Ovis aries: one gene and its partner. The protein of the gene in region 2 interacts with the protein of the main gene of each other region in a pairwise test. Links are inferred from orthologs where the notes say so. Each region holds a gene or a part of one and is shown on either strand. Other genes may lie near its edges.

Evidence for each region. The genes of interacting proteins can lie anywhere in the genome.
Region 1: the proteins of KPNA2 (region 2) and HNRNPC interact in binary tests that used the Homo sapiens proteins (3 or more experiments, as listed by UniProt). The link is inferred for Ovis aries from reciprocal best matches to the Homo sapiens genes KPNA2 and HNRNPC.

What each region holds. Positions count from the first base shown.
Region 1 is NC_056060.1:24,219,584-24,225,574, forward strand, and holds the start of HNRNPC (heterogeneous nuclear ribonucleoproteins C1/C2), read left to right. Parts: upstream 1-2,269; 5' UTR 2,270-2,397; intron 2,398-3,012; 5' UTR 3,013-3,057; intron 3,058-5,991. UniProt on the Homo sapiens protein: Binds pre-mRNA and nucleates the assembly of 40S hnRNP particles. Interacts with poly-U tracts in the 3'-UTR or 5'-UTR of mRNA and modulates the stability and the level of translation of bound mRNA molecules. Single HNRNPC tetramers bind 230-240 nucleotides.
Region 2 is NC_056064.1:48,649,125-48,654,423, reverse strand, and holds part of KPNA2 (importin subunit alpha-1), read left to right. Parts: coding exon 1-2; intron 3-1,669; coding exon 1,670-1,758; intron 1,759-2,900; coding exon 2,901-3,169; intron 3,170-3,332; coding exon 3,333-3,427; intron 3,428-3,521; coding exon 3,522-3,785; intron 3,786-3,972; coding exon 3,973-4,206; intron 4,207-4,443; coding exon 4,444-4,626; intron 4,627-5,299.

The sequences.
Region 1 (5,991 bases), on a different chromosome or scaffold from region 2:
AAATTTCAGACACTCTCTGTTTAAGGTCCTAGGACATGTAGTAGGCAAAGGGAATACAGAGAGCAATGAGAATTAAACTCTGTAATCAAAAGGATATACTATCCATGAGAGAAGAAGAGACAAATGTAAAATTAACAACAGTGCAATGAGGTCATTTTAAATAAATTGCAATGTGGCAACTGAGCTGAGGCTTTAAGCACTTGGAGATGTTTCCTCTCTGATTACTTGTTCAAACTTAACAATTCAGAAACTATAGAAAAGCACAGGCAAGTTTAAGGGGGAAAAGAAAAAGCACAAGTTCTCCCACCATGGGGGAACCACCATTAACATTTTAGTTTATTTTTTATTACATGCTTTTTGCTTTTGCTTTTTAGATTTGCTTAAAACAACATATGCATATGGCAAAAAGTTCAAATTGTAAAGAAAGGCGTACCACTGAAAAATGTAAAAGGTTCGCTCCCCAAAGATATGTCCAGATAAATTTCTAGGCCCAAGATGGAGTTGCTCCTGCTGGGGGTGTCACGTTAGCATACTTAAACTTCAAGTTCCTGTAAAAGGTCACCTTGACCAGAAACTCAGTACACCCAGTCAGTCAATCTTCTCAAACGCCATACTTTTTAGGCTGTATACTTATTTCCTTGTTCCTTAATCTTTCTAAATAAGGTCAGATACACAACCGCAGGCGATCAAACTCGATTGCCTTGCTGCTTTTAATGCTGTATTAAGCTCGTTCTTGCCCAGACTCCCTGGGGGAGTGCTCCACTGCTTGTGAGTTACCGTACTCTTCCAACCATGAATTGTTTTCACTTGAGTAAAGGACAGTACACTCGTTACTAAACTGTCTTGATTTTTGCCATTTGACAGGTAGACAGTTTCCTTGTGAATCTGAAATTAAGAATTAATTCGAAACTAATGCATAAAACTGTATTCACAAATGCATATATTCCTTAAAATGTATAGAGTATCACATTCTCTAGATAAGTGTTCTGCAATCTTGCTTTCCCCAACTACACAGAGAAATATCCTTTATTCCTATTCCTAGCACAGCTGGTCCTTATTGCATTGCGTGCTCGGCTGCTATAATATAACCAGAGGGACTGCAGTGCAGACGACGCCGGTAGGTGGGAGACAGGATCGTTTCAGGATGCGGAGAATTAAGGGACCCGATTGTGGGTTCGGGCGGGGGAGAGCTAGCCAGTTGAACCAATTTGGTTGGCATATAGGATATCAGAAAGTGAGATGATGATACTGGATGCTTGGGGCTGGTACACTGAGACGACCCAGAGGGATGGTACGGGGAGGGATGAGGGAGGGGGGTTCAGGATGGGGAACACGTGTATACCTGTGGCGGATTCATGTTGATGTATGGCAAAACCAATACAATATTGTAAAGTAATTAACCTCCAATTAAAATAAATAAATTTATATTAAAAAATAAATGAATACACTCCCTCAGCCTCACCACTTTGGGAAAAAAAAAAAAAAAGAAAGTGAGATGACTTGGGGCCAGAGGACGAATGCTGTAGTATCCCAGGCCAGTATTTTAGACTTTATTTACCTTTTGCAGTGGAGAGGTGAGTTAAGTCAGTTGTTTTGCGTGAGTTATGGGTTGTTTGAAGGGCTTGACAAGCTGAGAAATGTCCAGAAAGGAGCTCTAGGGTTGGAAAAACTGCAGGGCTGGTTTGTATTCTAGCTTTCAGTGCTCCCTCCCCAGTCAAAGAAAAAACAATTTTTTTGTTCACCCCGCGGGCTACAGCTTTTCCTTTTACCTAGGCCGGGAGCTAGGGTAGACCTTTCAGAAGTCTACCAAACAAGACCCGGCAATCTTCATCTGCCCCCCTACCCCCGCCCCCGCCCCCGCGCCGCGGGAATTCCGAGATCCGGGTGGGCCTCCTTCTAGGCGCTCTGAAGAGTAGCGATGGGATACTGAGACCGCCAATCAGGTATCTCGGATACCCGGATGTGAAGCGGTGAGCCTTACAAAGGCAAGTTTCCACCCAGAGCTTCGTCAGGGTACAGTGGCCAATAAGCATGTCTCAGAAGATAAATGACAGGAAATATGACCAGTTACAAACTAGTTTCTCCCACGCATGTGGAAATTCTCTAGATTAGTCTAAGCCACTACTGATTGTGATTGGATAGAATTGTGAAGAGCGGTAGAACTGTCTAATGAGAAGCGGGAGCGAGAAAACTCGCAGCCAATAGGAGGATTCTCAGAAGAGAGGCGGGCCTAGGCCTTCGCCTCGGCGGCAGAGGAGACTCGGGGGCCATTTTGTGAAGAGGCGAAGACTGAGCGATTGCGACCGCGTTGCCGACCTCGAGCAGCCATCGGCTTCTTCACGTAGAACCCAGGGGTAGGAGATTCAGAATCGAATCTCTTCTCCCTTCCCCCTCCTGGTAAGTGGAGGGAGCGGAAGCAGAGGAAGCGCTGGGTTCTTTGGGGAGCGCGAGGTGGAGTGGGAGAGAGGACGAGGGAACCCTCCCCTCGGTAGAGTAAGCAGGCCCCCATTTATTCTCTGGTTTGGGGGATTAGATCTTACGCGGAGAGTTTTCTAGGCCGCAGCCCTTGAGTAGATTTTTAACCCAGTGTCCTCTAGGCCACAATCGGCAGGGAAAATGCTGTTTTTCTTTTTCGCTTTCTTGTGTTAACGGCTGTCCTTTAATTTTCGGTGACCATGAGGACTCTGAGATTGTGAAACGGATGATCAAAGATGCTCATGAATGTAGTTCAAGTTAATGTAGTGCCGATGCTTCCTGTTAAATTTTAAAATTAAGTGGGGGATGGGGAAGATTTATCAAGCAGAAATTTTTTGTACCGCAAGCCTCCAAATTCTGGAGCGTACCGCAGGGTATAAATATGAAAACAATAGTTTTAATATTTTACTGATTACTTTTTAGTTTACGCCTCTCTGAACAAATGATGAACCTCGAAATATTTTCAATTTTATTTAAAAAATTGTAATCTGATTTACATATCAACAGTAATAATTAAAGCTGGGTTTTTATCTGCAGGTTACAAATCGCTTGAAATATATAAGTTAGTGGAACTTGCTTGAGGTAGGTATACTATCTTTCTTAGACAGAAACCGAGGCATGAGTGTTGCTTGCCTGGGTCATATTAATCAGCCGAACTAGTAAGGAATTTGGTCTCCAGGTTAAGGCAAGTGGCTTTACCTCCCCGTTGAAATCGTAGATGTTAAAAATAATTACAGCAAGGACTAGCGGTAACTGGAAATACCCAAACTGCTCTTGGGGAAAAGATTATGAGTATTGCGTTTATTAAAGTGACGTCCTAAGATTTTGTGAAGTTTGATTTTCGGGATATCTGGCATTAATTTTCCGGACCATCCCAAAGTTGGCAAAAATGCATAACTATATGCCTTTTGTTAAGCAGGTATTATGGTGGTTACTGTTTGCTAAGCCCTGAAAATTACTAAACAATTTTTGCCAGGTTTTTAAAAATTACATAAGTTTCAAAGTATCACATTCACTTATCCAAGAAATCGCTTTTTTTTGATCTTTGTGTAAGATTTAGGTGATTTTGTTTTTCATAATGTGTTAAACATTCACAAAAAGTAATGTTAAGTATAGTTTAAGCCCATACTGGGTAAATTTGTCCCTTAGGAACAGAAGCTAAAACTGTTACTGTAGGTAGCTATGTATCGATCCCTTAGCATATAGATTTTGTAATAGAATTAAAAGCTTTGCCTTAAAAATAAAAGCTTAAGCATTTAGATTGTCACATGGACTTTAAAAGGGCAGTAATTGGTTAATTTAGGAAATCATACGCCTAATATTGTTGGCAAATAAAGAGAAATGTAGGAAATCAGTATTTAAGAATGGTTAAATTCTTAGATGGAAATAAAATTATTTGAAGTGCACTTTTCTTGCCTTGAGGTGTTAGAAATGGGTTCCATAGGATCAGCATGTACCAAGGTAACAGTTTAATATCACTCATCTGGAATGATTTGGCCACAAAATTAATATCTGAAATAACTGTAGATTTGATTTCAAATAGATAGGCATTAGTAACATTTTCATGTTGGTTGGAGAAGAGGGATTTAAGAAGGATGGCTTAAGCTGGAGGACTCTGTGTTTCCCATGCTCATGCCTCCTGCTGTTTTCTTTGGTAGAGGATATAAACACACATTATTCCTGATTAGGTCTCTAGAGGGTTTTGCATAGTTGTGTGACCTTGTTTTGGATGGAATTGCTGTTAGAAACACGGAATAAGCTCCAAAATAGCTAATTTTTCTAATCTTAAAGATTAATTTATATTAACTGGTGGATGTGTGAGATGTCAAGTGGGAAGTGTGACAGTTGAAAGAACCCTGGTCTAGGAGTTAAGAGAACTGGATTTTTCCCCTCCTGCTGCTTATAAAATCAGTTAAACTTAATGAAATTCAGTTTTATATTTATAAGGGGTCTTAACAAGAGCCCTGGGGCTTCAGAAACTCAAGGGCAAGGCCTCCAGCCCAGCCCGCCCTGTTGTCACGGGGTGTGTGAACCCAAAGCCTCCTGTCTTGCTCATGTATACCCGTTTAGCATTCCCTCCAGAGAGGGTCCTCCTGCCCCCCAACCTAGGTAAATGCAAGATCCGCCTTTCCCACCAGGGCTGCCAAAAACTGGTCTGCTTTCCCCACCAGAATGATGTTGTTATTGCGAACCAGGGAAACAGGAAAAAAGGTAGTCTCTATCCTCACGGAGAAGGCGATGGCACCCCAGTACTCTTGCCTGGAAAATCCCATGGGCAAAGGAGCCTGGTAGGCTGCAGTCCATGGGGTCGCAGAAGAGTCAGACACGACTGAGCGACTTCACTTTCACTTTTCACTTTCATGCATTGGAGAAGGACATGGCAAACCACTCCAGTGTTCTTGCCTGGAGAATCCCAGGGACAGGGGAGCCTGGTGGGCTGCCGTCTGTGGGGTCACACAGAGTCGGACATGACTGAAGCGACTTAGACTTCTTACCTCTTAATGTCTGTTTTCTGTAATTCAAGTGATTTTTTGCCAGAAGGCTAAATAGTGTACAGAAATAGTTTCATTGTTGACAGCAGTTTTTGTATATTAGTAATTACTGTTAACTGTCTTAATAACAGTATTTCAGTCTTCAGATCATTTAATTAGTTGTCTTTGGGGAACATTATTTGCTCATACTTAATATATACTCATTCATTCTCATTGGGACCAGGGAGGCTTAAAATTTTGTACAGAATAGATTTACTAGATAGTTGATTATGGTGAAAATCAGAACTTTAAGATGTAGCATAGCTGCATGTGTTCTCTTAGACATTGGAAATCTGAGGTTTATGAAGGGAAAAGGGATTTCTGTAGGGCTTTATGGTATAGCATTTAGTGTGGTAGGTTATAATTTTCGAGTTACTATGTTTCGATCCTAATTAGGGGATAGAGATTCCTTATTAAACTCTGCACAGTGGTTCTTAAACATGAGCAGACATTAGGACCAGCAAGAGGGCTGGTTAAAACATTGCTGGGCTCTCCATCACCACTTTCTAATAAAGTCAGTCTGGGGTAGACCCTGTTCATGTGCATTTCTAGTATGTGCCACGCTATCTTGGTTGGCAGCCCTCACTTTGAGAATACCCCTGTAGAAGAAGGTATGCAAATCTAGATTTGACAAAGTATAAACTACAGGTGTACTATTAATTGCGAAAGTTACAATTAGGTGTTCAACCTGGTTAATCATTTTTATGAGGGGTAGCTCATCAATTAAGCATAGTATCTTGGAAGACATCTTAAGTTCTTAAATTTGAAAGATGTAAATGTTTTACATTACTTTTTAATCTTATAACATGTTTGCAGAGGATTTGTTTGTAGCTGAACCAGTTATTTAGCATCCTGACATTATTGAGTACCAAGTTCAGGCTGTGATTCCAAAGAAGAAAACTGAATGTCTCACCATAACTGAACATCCCTTACACTTACACATTCAAAACGTATATTTGAATGTACATTCAAATAATTGTACATT
Region 2 (5,299 bases):
AGGTGAGGATATTTTAGTTTATGAGTTATGGTAAACCCAGAAAATCAATATGAGGCCTTTCTGAGATATTTAAATAACATGTCTTAGCTTTGTGGGTTTTAACTATCAAATGTGAAGATCTGTCTTTGTGTGCTCCTGTTCAGTAATTCTGATGGATTATCTTCCCCCCGCCCATCCTCTGTAATCTGTGGAAGCTGATTCCAAGGTTGTCTTTAGCTCTGATCTCCCCTTCAAGTTTCCCTGCTTTTCCAGTTGCCAGCTTTTACTTTGAGTTGGCCATTCAAGTGTTCAGTGAAAGTATGTCCAGAACCAACTTTTTTTTTTTCCTGCCTTTTTTTTTCTTTCTCTCCCTTTCCCTTCCTCCCTCCCTCTCTTTTTTTTGTAGTTGTCACCAGCTTTTTTCAGGTCTTTTTCCTCAGCTGTCTCTTGATTTTCTTTCTGTGCCACTTACTGTTTACCTAAAAGTTTTCTTAAAATACTGCTTAAAACATCTTAGAAATTTTATGATTCTAAATCCTTTTTAAAAGGTTTTTTGGAAATTAGACCCATCCTAGAGTTCTACTCATGGAGACTTCGTGATTTTATCAGAAGTCAGGGAAAGTTGCTCAGTTGTGTCCAACTCTTTGCGACCGCATGGACGATACAGTCCATGGAAGCCAGAATACTCTAGTGGGTAGTCATGCTCTTCTCCGGGGATCTTCCCAACCCAGGGATTGAACCCAGGTCGCCCATATTGCAGCTGGATTCTTTACCAGCTGAGCCACCAGGGAAACCCCATCCTACATTTTTAAATTTATCTTTCATCTTTTAAAAATATTGGGCAGTTTCCTGCTTTTTCCCCCCACATTATGCTTTCCTTCAGTTCTCCTCATTTTATCAGTGTTCTCCCCCCCCCCCCCCCCCCCCCGCCCCCCTGAATTCGACCTGTGTTGTGTTTTTCAAGTTTTATACTCAAATCTCATCTTCTCTTTGTAGCACTTCTAGGTCATCCTAACAGGAAAAATGCTTCCTTCCCAGAATTCCTACAGCACCCCATTCTGCACCACAAATGAAGAGTAAATTCTGTATAATGCTATATACAGTGTTTTATATATATAATCATTTGTTCTGTGGTGTTTAGATTTTACATTGTCCTTGTTGTAAGGTTTTAGGGAGAATGTGATACTGTCTTTTTGAGTTAACTGTAGCTTGGTTCGCAAATGCTGCAGTTAACTCCAATATGTAGTTACTACCTATAATGTTTATGTGTGCATAAATACCACATAAACCGGAGGGGAAATGCATGGATAACAACTTTAGCTTTTCAGATTCCCAGCACATTGCCTCTAACTCTGTCCCTTTTCCCCTAAAAGCATATCTGAATACAAGTGATTGAGACTAATGTAAGAATAACCTTCGCAGTGCTCTAGTTCATTTTTTTTAACCTATTCACAGCTACTTTTCTTAGTGACTAGATGCTGGGATACTCCATCACTTAAGATATCATTTGGTCATGACACCTAATTTGAGGATTGTTCTATATATTAAATATTGAATATTTAACAGGCGAATTTAAATGTGGGACTAAACTTTAGTAACTGATTATAAACAGAAATGTCTTCGTGTTGGGATTGCATTGTATTTAATCTTAAAAATGATAATTTGAAAATTAATTTCCCTGTTCTTGTAGGGCACTGTAAATTGGTCTGTTGATGATATTGTCAAAGGCATAAATAGCAACAATTTGGAAAGCCAGCTCCAAGCTACTCAAGCTGCTAGGTAAGTCTTGTCTTCTGTAGCATGAGTAAACTAAGAAATCAGCCTTTTTACATTTTTTGGTGGGAAAGCAATGGCAGGTGGTGCAGAGTAAAGGTTAAGCCAGGCCTAGGCCAATTTTCATTATAATCTTTCCTAATCTAAAATTTTCTGTAGTTGCCTCAAATTACATCTACCTCCAGTGATAACTTTAGTGTACTTCAGAAATGTTTTCTTGTCACTGGCATTTCAAGTCAATGTCAGGGAAAGGAGGAATTATTCAGTAACTGGGATTACCACATTGATTTAGAATGGTTCATCCATTTAGGAAATAAATATATTCTATTTATTAGACTCTTCCCACCCACCATACACAGCTATCTGTGACATCCATAATATAAGGATTGATGATCTCTGTAGCCTCACAGTGTGGGGAAAAGCAGGTCCAATTGGCAGAAGATCAGGGGAAACGTGTGTGTCCCCACCACTGGCCAGAGTAATGCGGATTAATGGACTGTGATGGTATCGTATGTCAAAGTTTTTAAAAAGTGGTAAGATCTGGAGTAGATTTCTGCAGAGAGAAGGGTTCTGCGTCATTGGTAATATTTCAGTTTTGGGAAAAGTAGTTTACGACACTACCCCACCATGCAAACAGTCTGTCTGCTCAGCTCCTCTTAAATTCCAGGATATGTCAGCATTTAGTCTTCACTGTAAAAGGTTACTTAAAGTTCTAAACTCTTGGATTAAGATGCATTTTATTTTATTTTATTTTATTTTTTTAATTTTTATTTTTACTTAATTTTACTTTACAATACTGTATTGGTTTTGCCATACATTGACATGAATCCGCCACGGACGTACATGAGTTCCCAATCCTGAACCCCCCTCCCACCTCCTACCCCATATCATCTCTCTGGATCATCCCCGTGTAAGATGCATTTTATTTATTTATTTTTTTCTACTTTTATTGGTTTTGCCATACATTGACATGAATCCACCACAGCTGTACTCATGCAAGATGCATTTTAAATTGTGTTTTTTATATGAACTTGTTTGGTCTCGAGTTGGCGTTTTAAATTGTGTTTTTGTTTTTATTTTTTTCCTCTGGTATGAACCTGTTTGGTTAATCACCTTCAACTTTTGTTTCTCTTTTTGCTTACCCATAGGAAACTGCTTTCTAGGGAAAAACAGCCCCCTATTGACAACATAATCCGGGCTGGTTTGATTCCAAAATTTGTGTCCTTCTTGGGAAGAACTGATTGTAGTCCCATTCAGTTCGAATCTGCCTGGGCCCTCACTAACATTGCTTCTGGGACTTCAGAACAGACCAAGGCTGTGGTGGACGGAGGTGCTATCCCAGCATTCATTTCTCTGTTGGCATCTCCCCATGCTCACATCAGTGAACAAGCTGTATGGGCTCTGGGAAACATTGCAGGTACTTGGATTTGAAATTGGCTGAATGTCTCCAGTCATACTGAGGTTGGCATACGTGTCTTAGTGTGTTTGTTGCGTCAAGACATTGGTGTACTCTGTAACGGAAATTAATGGCACTAGACAGGTGGTAGTGGTTGACTCAGCCGCCTTCTTTTTTTTTTAAGGTGATGGTTCCGTTTTCCGAGACCTGGTTATCAAGTATGGTGCAGTTGATCCGCTCTTGGCACTTCTGGCTGTGCCTGATATGTCGTCTCTAGCAGTAAGTTACTTAGCATAAGTCACGTTTCTCACTGATTCTCATTTTCCTACCCCCCTTAAAAAACCACTTCATTGCGTGTTTCTTTTCCCCCCAGTGTGGTTACTTACGTAATCTTACCTGGACGCTTTCAAATCTTTGCCGCAACAAGAATCCTGCACCCCCCTTAGAGGCTATTGAGCAGATTCTTCCTACTTTAGTTCGTCTCCTGCATCACGATGATCCGGAAGTATTAGCTGACACCTGCTGGGCTATTTCCTACCTTACTGATGGTCCAAATGAACGGATTGAAATGGTTGTGAAAACTGGGGTTGTACCCCAACTTGTGAAGCTTTTAGGAGCTACTGAATTGCCAATTGTGGTAAGTTGATTTTCAAATGAGAGTATAAAGTATAAGGAGCACAATTAGTTGGTACTAATATTGACATATTATATATTTTAGGCCATAATGAGCCTCTTACCTGTCAAAACTTTTAGGGTGTAGAGATTTTGAGTAGTGCTGGAATAGATAAAAGATAACTGCCAGCGTCAACTTTTTTTCCTTTCAGACTCCTGCGCTCAGAGCCATAGGAAATATTGTCACTGGGACAGATGAACAAACACAGGTTGTAATAGATGCGGGAGCACTTGCCGTGTTTCCCAGCCTGCTGACAAACTCCAAAACTAATATTCAGAAGGAAGCTACATGGACAATGTCAAACATCACAGCTGGCCGCCAGGACCAGATACAACAAGTTGTGAATCATGGATTAGTCCCATTCCTTGTTGGCCTTCTCTCAAAGGTACTGTAGCCTTAGGACTTAAATGGGCAGGCACTTGGTAGAGTTGTATTTCTTAAGATTCTTAACATACTAATGCTGGGTTCTGTTTAACAGTCCTTTGCTAAATAATAGTAGCCTTTTTACTTTAGCTTGGATAGAACCAATTGAAAGTCTTAATCACTTTCTTCTAAAACAGTAGTTTTGGAATCTTATTTTTATGACCATTCTAAAATAAACCTGTTTCTTTATGTTAATTAGGCAGACTTTAAGACACAAAAGGAAGCCGCATGGGCTGTGAACAATTATACAAGTGGCGGAACTGTTGAGCAGATCGTGTACCTTGTTCACTGCGGCATAATAGAGCCGTTGATGAACCTCCTAACTGCAAAAGATACCAAAATTGTTCTGGTTATTCTGGATGCCGTTTCAAATATCTTTCGGGTAAGGCTTAACAAGACAGCATTTGTTTGAATTTGGACTCGATAATTGGTTTACTATTTAGATGACAAGTGAGGGGCAGCTAAGTTTACTCAGTTCACCGCAGAATCAGAAAACCTGTTTCTGTGGGCCACACTCTGGATAAATGATGTGGCAGAGGATTATGAGAGAGAAAAAGGAGATGACAAATGCATGATGTGACCTGAATTGAGGCCAGGTACGTAGATGATATGCTGTTCATACACATTTATTTTGTCAAGCATTAATTCCCCTAATTTCATACTAAACTTCGGTGAAATTAAATTTGAATGACCTGGTTAATTATATTTTTCTTTTGGTTCCATTCCCAACTGATCGAAGTGTGATAACACATGGCACTTGATCATAATGTTTAATGTTTGGTAGGTCAGCATTAAAAAACAACTTTAAACTTCTGAGTATGGAAATTTTTACATATCAAAGTTGAGTTTATAGTAATGATCCCTGATGTATCACCTAGCTTAAATAATTTGTCAACATTTGCCCTCTCTTTCTCCTCACCCTTCAGTCAGTTCAGTTCAGTCGCTCAGTCGTGTCCGACTTTGCGACCCCATGAATCGCAGCACGCCAGGCCTCCCTGTCCATCACCAACTCCCGGAGTTCACTCAGACTCACGTCCATCGAGTCAGTGATGCCA